Linked DNA regions of Tribolium castaneum. The protein of the gene in region 1 purifies or fractionates together with the protein of each later gene. This does not show direct contact. Links are inferred from orthologs where the notes say so. Each region holds a gene or a part of one and is shown in the gene's direction. Other genes may lie near its edges.

Region 1 (4,225 bases):
TTAATTGTTTTATTTTTGTAAAAAGCACGCGTCAGCGGTTGCTCGCGTTAAACGCGCATTTTTCTCATTCGTTTATCGATTAAGAATTTGTAGCAAATTGAGTCATAACATAAGTGAATTTCCTCGAAAAGTGCGCGGATTTTCGTTGACCGATGACGAATCGGTCATTTTTATGCAGCCCCCAATTCATCGCGTCAACAAAATGGGTTCCGCGAGTTTATATTTTTCTGCACATATTGCACTTGTTCCTTTTCATTAAAATGTTGGTTTGAAGAGAAATAGAAGGTCGCGTGACGTTCTAGCGTCTGTATAAATAATCCGCAGTGCACACTTCAAAAGGTCAATTTCCAGGATTGGTCATGAAAATTACAAGTTTCCTCGTTGTTGCAGGTGAGATTTTTGTTTGTAGGTCATGGTTGGCTTGGAAAATGTGACACATGGGTTCGTTTGTTTTGACCCAAGCCCACTCGAAATTACGCAATATTTGACCGAAACTTTTCAGGGCTTGTTTTGGCGAGTGTGGCGGGCCAGCAGGGGAACTCCTCTGACAAAATCTCCAGGTTTATCTATGATAGGTGTCGGGTTTATAGCACAGACGCTTCGGCTTACGATGATATAAAGACCCATTTGGGGCAATTTGGCGATTATCTTTCGTACGCTGCGAGTTTATTGCCCAATGGTAAGGAGCAGTTCTGCAACGACGAAAGGCCCACACTGGCCCGTCTAGCCGCCCAGCTTGCCCATGATGTCAAACCGTGTTTGCCCAAAGACGAGAAGTATTTGCCCAAGTTCATGGTTGAAAGCTTCACCTCATTTCTCGACTTTGTGTGTTCCCAAAGAACCATCGAAAGTAAGATTTAAAATTTTGAAAACTATTTTTTATCAAGGAAAATACAGATTTCTTCAGTACCCAAGGGGCAGATTGCCGCCAAAACTTGAAACTCAACCAAGAGGGGCAACAAGTTGGAAACTGCTTTACTAAACTATTCGCTCGGTTTAGCGACGTGGTCCGGAAAGACGACCTGTGCCTGTAGGTGCCCCCATGATTACAAACCCAACTTTTTCATCTTTCTTCTGATTCTAGTGACTTAAAAGCGTCCAAGAAGTGCTTCAGTGAGGCGATAGCCCGTAGTTGTCCCGATTTCGCCGCTTTTGAGTCGTTAAACAACCGATTTTTCCAAGCAATTCGCAAACCCTGTAACTCAGCTATTTCCATTGGCTTCAGCAGCGTTCTACTCCTCCTAGCATCATTCACTTCAACCAAGCTATTCTCATAGTTATTATATTATCCCTCCACGTATTATAAATGTTATTTTTGTTATAAATGTACGATAAATAAATAAATAAGTAGAATTTTGTCTTATTTTCTGACCCCGCGCCCTCTGGTGGCGAGTTAACCTGAGTTTGAAAATTATCTAACCGCCACTCGCCGACCTTGATTTTTTGTTTCCGTAAACCTAACCTAACTTTTGCACAAAAAACCGTTAAAACGGGCTAAAACCATGCAAGAAATCGCGTTGGGGTACCGGGAGGTGATCCCCGACCAGACGGTGTCCGATCCCTGGCGCGAAATCACCCTCAACACGGGTAATATCACAAAAATCGCCGATTACGTAAAACTGAGGTTATGTAACAGGGGGGACACAAGGGACGCTTCAAGATATCAAAGTCGCGGAAAGGGCCAACGGGTTTTGTTACCGCGACTCGACCAGACACCACACCAGGAATCGGTTTATCTACTGGAGGATTAGCCACGATGTCCTGGAGCTCGTGGAGCACAGTCTCGATATAAATCTCGCCGGAAATCGCATCAGATACAAATTTGTGGACACCCCGATTTTGGACGGGGTTTCCATCCATGAGACGTACGATAATGTGGTGGTTCTGGTGCCCACGGTGTGCAGCGTCCATAGGTTGGTGTTTCCGCATCCGGATAAGTACCACCGGCAGGACCATGTCGCGGGGGTTCACCCAGATCTGGCGGCGCCGTCGGTGTTCAGCGAAGCTACGGCCAACGAGGCGAGGGATCCCGCCACATTCCACTTTTTCACCAATTCGAGTAGGTCTTGTAATTTTTTAAGTCACGAGCCGGAGACGAGTGTCGTAACGAGCAAATCATAATTTTTTTTAAATAGGTTTGCCAAATGGCAAAATTAGATACGTTTGCATGATTATTTAAAATATTGGACTTCTCATGACTAGATGAACCCTTATTTAAAGGTTCTCAGCTGCCATATCTGGCCGCCTCTTCCCTGACCCTCGCTGAGGAGGAAGCAATTTTCGTGTTGGCCTACCACTCCGGCGAGATCCTCCTTCTGAGACAGTCCCCCGAGGGCAAAATCGACTCAGCTGAGCTAAAAAGCGAGTCAATCGTGCCCCGCTTTCTCTCAGGTCTCGCCGACAAGCTGCGGTACAACCCTTCATTTTTTCCGGCCCGGAAAACTGACGGTTTTTTTGCAGCCAAAAAGACAAAGAAGGCGACACTACCGTCAGCCTCATTTTACATACTTTCGGTCTTGAAACTTTCGCTTTGACACTTTGCCGCAACGGTCATTTGAAATTCTGGTCGTGCTCAAAGGCCGAATGTGTCTCAGTGATCGACGTCATGGCCGAAACCGGCGCCAGAAACCAGCTGCAAGGCGCTCAGAACCACATCCTGCGGAAAGCCGTCGATGGGTTTGATTCTGAGTGTCTGTTGGGTATTTTCATGAGTTTCGCAGCCAAGAGTCAGTTGCATGTGTTCAAGCCGATGCTCAGTGGCTCGCAGGTTCGGCTAGTGAGGCTTAATATACTTGATTTGGCTCAGGTGAGTCGTAGGTGGGATAAGTGATAGGGGGTAAGTTTGGGGTTTTAGACCGATTTGATCGATTTTACGATCTCGACAAGTCGGATTTGGTCGGTTTGGCGCGGAAAAGAGGGCCAATGTGAGGTGTATTCGGCCTCGAACCAGGCGGGGAGTCACTGGATTCCCGTGGTTCTGGAAAATGTGCCAGACGCCAGCCAACCGTTGAGCATCGACGGGGAGACGGATCCCAGGCAGAGCTACCTCCAGCACATCTTCCACCCGGGCAGGTTCCCCTTGCATATAATCAGCAAGGCTTTGAACGTAAGTTTTCAAGTCAAGCTGATTTTTTTACTGTATTTTTCGAAAATGTGCCATTTGTTTTTCTCTAAACCTCTTAGTTTCTTATTTGGTTGAGGCACAATTAATGTGACTCCTGGCGACCCGACAAAATAACAAATTGTTGCTTTTCAAACCTTTTATTTAAAAAATATACATAAAAATTATTGCGCGTTTTTTGTCACACCAACTGCTTATTATAGATTTACAAACGCTCGGCCGTCATCAGCGACTTGAACCTCTCGGCGGCCCATCTCAAGCAGCAGATCTGCATGGCCGTCGAAGACGAGGTCCAAAACGAGCTGAAGGAAACCGTCGTCAGCGACGAAGATTATCTCGAAACCGCCAGCTACTGCTGGCAACAATTCTACTCCTGTTGCGTCCAATACCACGTCGCTGGACTTAAACCTTTAGGCCTCCTTGTTCTTCCAAACTCCTCCGGGGCCGTACTTTTGAAAAAATCCATGATTTCGTTTTTGCGACCTCTCGATATTTTTGAACATTTCATCTACGAAAGCGACCACATGTTTAGGGACCAATTCACCAAATATTTCCTCTTGTCTGAGAGTAATTAAACCGCACAGTTAATTAATCAATTGTGATTGGTTCATTTTTTGCAGATGTTGATATCACAGACGACGTGATCAGTTTGTTCAAGGTCATTAATTATTTGGATTCGCAGATGAGTGAGATTTTCGCGTACACGTTCGAACGAGAGTTGGCACTGCTGAAGTCGCCTGATGTCGTCATGGGGGCTCTCCTTGAGCAGATCCAGCGCGAGATGGACACCGAGGTTCGTACTTTTTTTATGTTAAAAAAATATTCTGGGGCTTTTGAGCCCTAAAAAACGTTTTACAATTTATTATCTGGTACTTTTACCGTGGCGCCTGGCGAACCATTCTTATATTTATATCACAGAAAATTTTAATGACAGCTGCTTCTGTTGATATCTGCTCAAATCATTTACGGAAAACTCTTGAAGAATTTTAAAATTATTTAAAGCACTGCAATTTATTGTAGTTTTTGAGCTTTCGCGTATTTTTTCGATCTCGCGTAAATAGTTAAGCAAAAACCGCCCGATTTGTGCTCTAGTTCACCGAGCAC
Region 2 (4,099 bases), on another chromosome or scaffold:
TTGTGGAGATATACTAAAGTAATATTTCATGACAACAATGCAATGGGGCCAGAAAATGATTAGTCTGCAGTAAAAAAGATGTTTATTGCTCACTTCGTCTCACTTTTCAGAACAGATGTTACCATGAGCAGACATGGGGCCTAAGCTGAAGCAAGCCCAAAGAAACCCTAACTTGCGAATCATTTTCTGTCGTCAACTGCACTGTTATAAAATATTACTTTAGTCAATCTTAACTACTCTGCTTGGAAGATAATACAAAATAACTATTTAATATTATTATTGGTTTTAAAATGAGATTTGTGACATACAATAAGGGCCTTACGTTTCACCAAATTATTCTATAAAGTTAAGTGAAACATTTAAACCTGTTCTGATATGTAATGTTCTAAAAACATGTTTTTAAACAGCGTCTTGAAAATAGTCTGTGCAACAGACATTTAATGAGGTTGAAAGTATATGGTGGTGCAGTGTGTGATCTTTTAAATCGCCGGCTTTATTTTTTGCATCATATGAACATTCGCGACATTTAAATATATATTGTTTACAGTACTGAAATAACCATGTCTGTTACTAATAGCAAGTTTTAGAAACACTAATACAAAAAACGTCTCTAAATTGCAACTAACGCAAGCTGTGAATGGAATCACACATTTGATTCAAAGGCACATGTTTAATGTGTGTATAGTGTATCTTATTCAATGGTGTCCCTTTAAATGTAGAAACTGGTTCGTCTCAAAGGAATAATCACGACATTTGTGCTCCTCAAGGGGCTGCTACAACACTAAACTGGCTTAGTGTCTTCCTCAGGCAACAGCTGTTTAATCATTTTCGTCTTCGATTTTTTTATCAATCTGAAAAATTTCTAGGTTAAAAAAGTTGTAAATTGTTTTAGTTTTACTGACCTGTTCCATTTCTTGGCTTTGGGAGAGCTTATCACATACTTTATTTTGTATTTATTACTAAATTCGTCTAATTGCCTTTCATGTAGGGGGGCTTTATAAAGGCCAGTTCTGTTGTTGAAATTTCATGACTGACATCTAGTGGAAAACATTACTGTCAGTGAACAGGTTGCCATGAACGTACACCTACTTCCGTTTCTATAAAATAAACCCCCCACATAAAAAAATCTGTTTTAAATAGTTATTTTATTTTTAAACATAAACTTATTACAGTTCAGCCGTAACAATATTTTCTAAACATTAATCATGTATTCTTATAACGTACTTCTGGCTTAAAAAAATGTAGAGTCGTTAAGCAATTTGTCTTATAGATTTGATACGGAGTATACTCCACCGCACGTATAGTGGGTTGCCTGACAATTATTCAATTATGCTTTCAACGACACAGTGAGGTTATAGCGCCACTTTTTTAATTTTTATGGGCTTAATTATACACAAAATATGGCCCACAACATTCATGGAACATTTGTTTCTGAAAAAGTTAATAAAATCCGTTGGAGGCCCGATTTTATGAATGCCTCGCATTATTTTGTAACCGGCAGTTGGGACAATGACCAAAACAGCATCAAACTTTGGGATTTCCAAGAAAATGAAGAAGATGCCGAAGTTTATCCATTTCTGGTGGCTGAATTTCCACACAACGGGGACATAACTGAAGTTAAAGTATGTATATTACAATCAGTATTGCGATACGAGCCACGTAGCGAGTGAAACAATTTTTGTCATTTTTTAGTTCTTAAACGGCGATTTTTTCGTTGCTTCTTCGTCGTCGGGCTGCGTCAGTCTGCTGAAGATTACTTCCGAACATGGAATTGATCCCTTAATTGAGAGAAAAATTTACTGGGAGGGAGTTCACAAATTTCCCAATGGGGAGAATTGCCCTTGCACTGCCTTTTGCACCTACGACAACGATATTGTGAGCGTTGGCGAAGACGGTTCTATCAATTTGTTAAATGCCCAAAACCAAAACGTTATCCGCACAATTGAAAACGCCGATAGTTGCTCAATTCGTTGTGTGGCTTTTCTGAAGCATAGCGAAATTTTGACCGGTAATTTTCGTGGACAATTGAAGATTTTCGATATTCGGGCCCCTAAAAGCCAACCCGCGACCACTTTCATGTTGAGTGGGGATCAAATCTCGCCATTGTGTCTCCAAAACCACCCTACACAGAGGCATTTGGTGGTAGCTGGCGATGAAGAAGGTACCTATTTTTTTTTTATTTATGTTGGCAAACGCCAAAAATGGTGCCAACTTAAAGGTATTGGCAACTTTCTTTTAAATGATACCAAAATAGTTATTTACATTATACGTGCGGTAGGTATAATTTTACAGCGTGAAGTTTTAATAAAATTGAACGCTGTAAAATGAGTCGTCTAGTTCCAAAACCTGCCGTCTCTATTCAGTATTTTTGTTTAATGTTTAATACAAATGCTGTTGAACAAATAAATTTTAAATTACACTGATATAAAACCTCTTAGAGAGTAGAATTCGATGACCTATACTTTAATTACAATGTTTGAATTTAAAGCCTGCATTTTTTTTAAGGTTGGAGGTGGCAAGTTTTGGAACAAGTTGGAGAGGAGATGGGCGGTTATGGAACAAAATGTCTTTTAAAAATCCTTTTTTTAAGACTAGATAGTGAAATGGAATAAAAAAACTCAAACTACGTATTTGCTGAAATAACATGTGGCTAAAGTTTTAAGTCTTTTAAGGCAAACACATAACTCCAAAAAACAACGCGGAGATAGTTGATTTTGGAACGCATATATAAGATTACTTTACGTAAAGAAATGACATTGATATTTCAAACTTTAATGCAGTTGATGTTAATAACTATTTTTTGTTAGTATTTAGTCCGCCAGATAATTGTGCTAAATCCACATTATCATTAGTACGCAAAAAAATCAACGATAATGGTTCCTTTCGTCTTCAGCTTGCTGCTGTTGATGAAGTTTATGAAATAGTTATAGTGTTGACGAAAATATTTTTATTTTTGATGTTGTGTATAGTTCTGCGTAACTGGCTATGTCTATACCATAAACCAATGAAAACTTCCACAAAACCGCATCAATTATTTTGGGCATCTTCTTAGTACCTGCAAGAGGCTCATTATCTTTTAGGATTCCTTCTTGTAAACAACAATGATCAAAATAATAACTGCAATTGTGGGGTAAGTTTTTGTTGGTTTGCGGTTGACATAGCAAGTAATGTGAGAACTATAAGTATATACCCTATATATACTCAAAATTGACGCCCATGCTTTTAGGATTTGCTTCAGAAGACTAAAACAAATCGAAAGTTAAGAGTGAAAAATTGTCCAATTGTCCTTCGTTATCGAGTTATTGATAAGTATCTAAAATTTAAAATTTGTACATTAAATTTTATTAAAAGCGAATTTACCAAATTTGTTGTCACAAAGTATGCTATAATGCGATTTGGAAACTTTTCCGTGTAGGCCCTAGTCTCAGCAGTGGCATTGCCATCATACAAACATCTTACTTATAACCGAGCTTTTAACATATCGTCAAAATTTCGAATACACTAATAAAGTGGTATCTTATCATTTAACACATACAAAAACGAAGGAAATTAATAATACTCTTTACTAGACACAGTTATTCAAAGAATTTTAATATCGCTAACATCAACTAATCAATTATGTTGCACAAATAATTGGAAAGACAGCTAAAGCTTATTATTTACATTTTTATCAATAACTCTAAAACGAACAATTGGAAAATTTTTTACTCTTAACTTTCGATTTGTATTAATACCCTAAATCAAACTGCCATAGCACAGGCGTCAATTTTGAGACTTTTACTTGTTAGAACGTAATCTATTCAACATTTTTCAAACGAGCGTAAATGGTTGGCTTGGTTAAACGAAACTGATCGAAGAAATTTACATCACTAACAATTTCAAAATAATTTTTCTTTTTCTATAAATTTTTTGTCTTCGCAGTTCGGAAGAAGATAATGAATTAGAAGAAAAAATGAACACTTTCTTAATTTTGTGCAATTCAAAAAACTGACAAATTTAACGTTTGTTAAAGTTGCTTTTGTAATTTGCCGCCGTCTTTACGTCTTTACCTAATCATTATTTGACGAAATATTTTACGAAAATTTTTAGGTTGAAACGC

What was found.
Region 2: the proteins of Nup160 (region 1) and Nup43 purify together in Homo sapiens (affinity purification with mass spectrometry; 5 studies listed by BioGRID and IntAct, counting the BioPlex papers as one, with this or other methods). This does not show direct contact. The link is inferred for Tribolium castaneum from reciprocal best matches to the Homo sapiens genes NUP160 and NUP43.

Annotation. Positions count from the first base shown.
Region 1 is NC_087395.1:25,113,991-25,118,215, reverse strand, and holds the start of Nup160 (nuclear pore complex protein Nup160 homolog), read left to right. Parts: upstream 1-1,406; 5' UTR 1,407-1,502; coding exon 1,503-1,587; intron 1,588-1,636; coding exon 1,637-2,059; intron 2,060-2,220; coding exon 2,221-2,410; intron 2,411-2,460; coding exon 2,461-2,806; intron 2,807-2,854; coding exon 2,855-3,106; intron 3,107-3,324; coding exon 3,325-3,688; intron 3,689-3,741; coding exon 3,742-3,914; intron 3,915-4,213; coding exon 4,214-4,225. Other genes in the region: uncharacterized protein LOC655733, read left to right, coding at 360-390, 503-850, 898-1,030, 1,085-1,277. UniProt on the Homo sapiens protein: Functions as a component of the nuclear pore complex (NPC). Involved in poly(A)+ RNA transport.
Region 2 is NC_087398.1:14,041,678-14,045,776, reverse strand, and holds the start of Nup43 (nucleoporin Nup43), read left to right. Parts: upstream 1-1,298; 5' UTR 1,299-1,400; coding exon 1,401-1,622; intron 1,623-1,692; coding exon 1,693-2,161; intron 2,162-4,099. UniProt on the Homo sapiens protein: Component of the Nup107-160 subcomplex of the nuclear pore complex (NPC). The Nup107-160 subcomplex is required for the assembly of a functional NPC.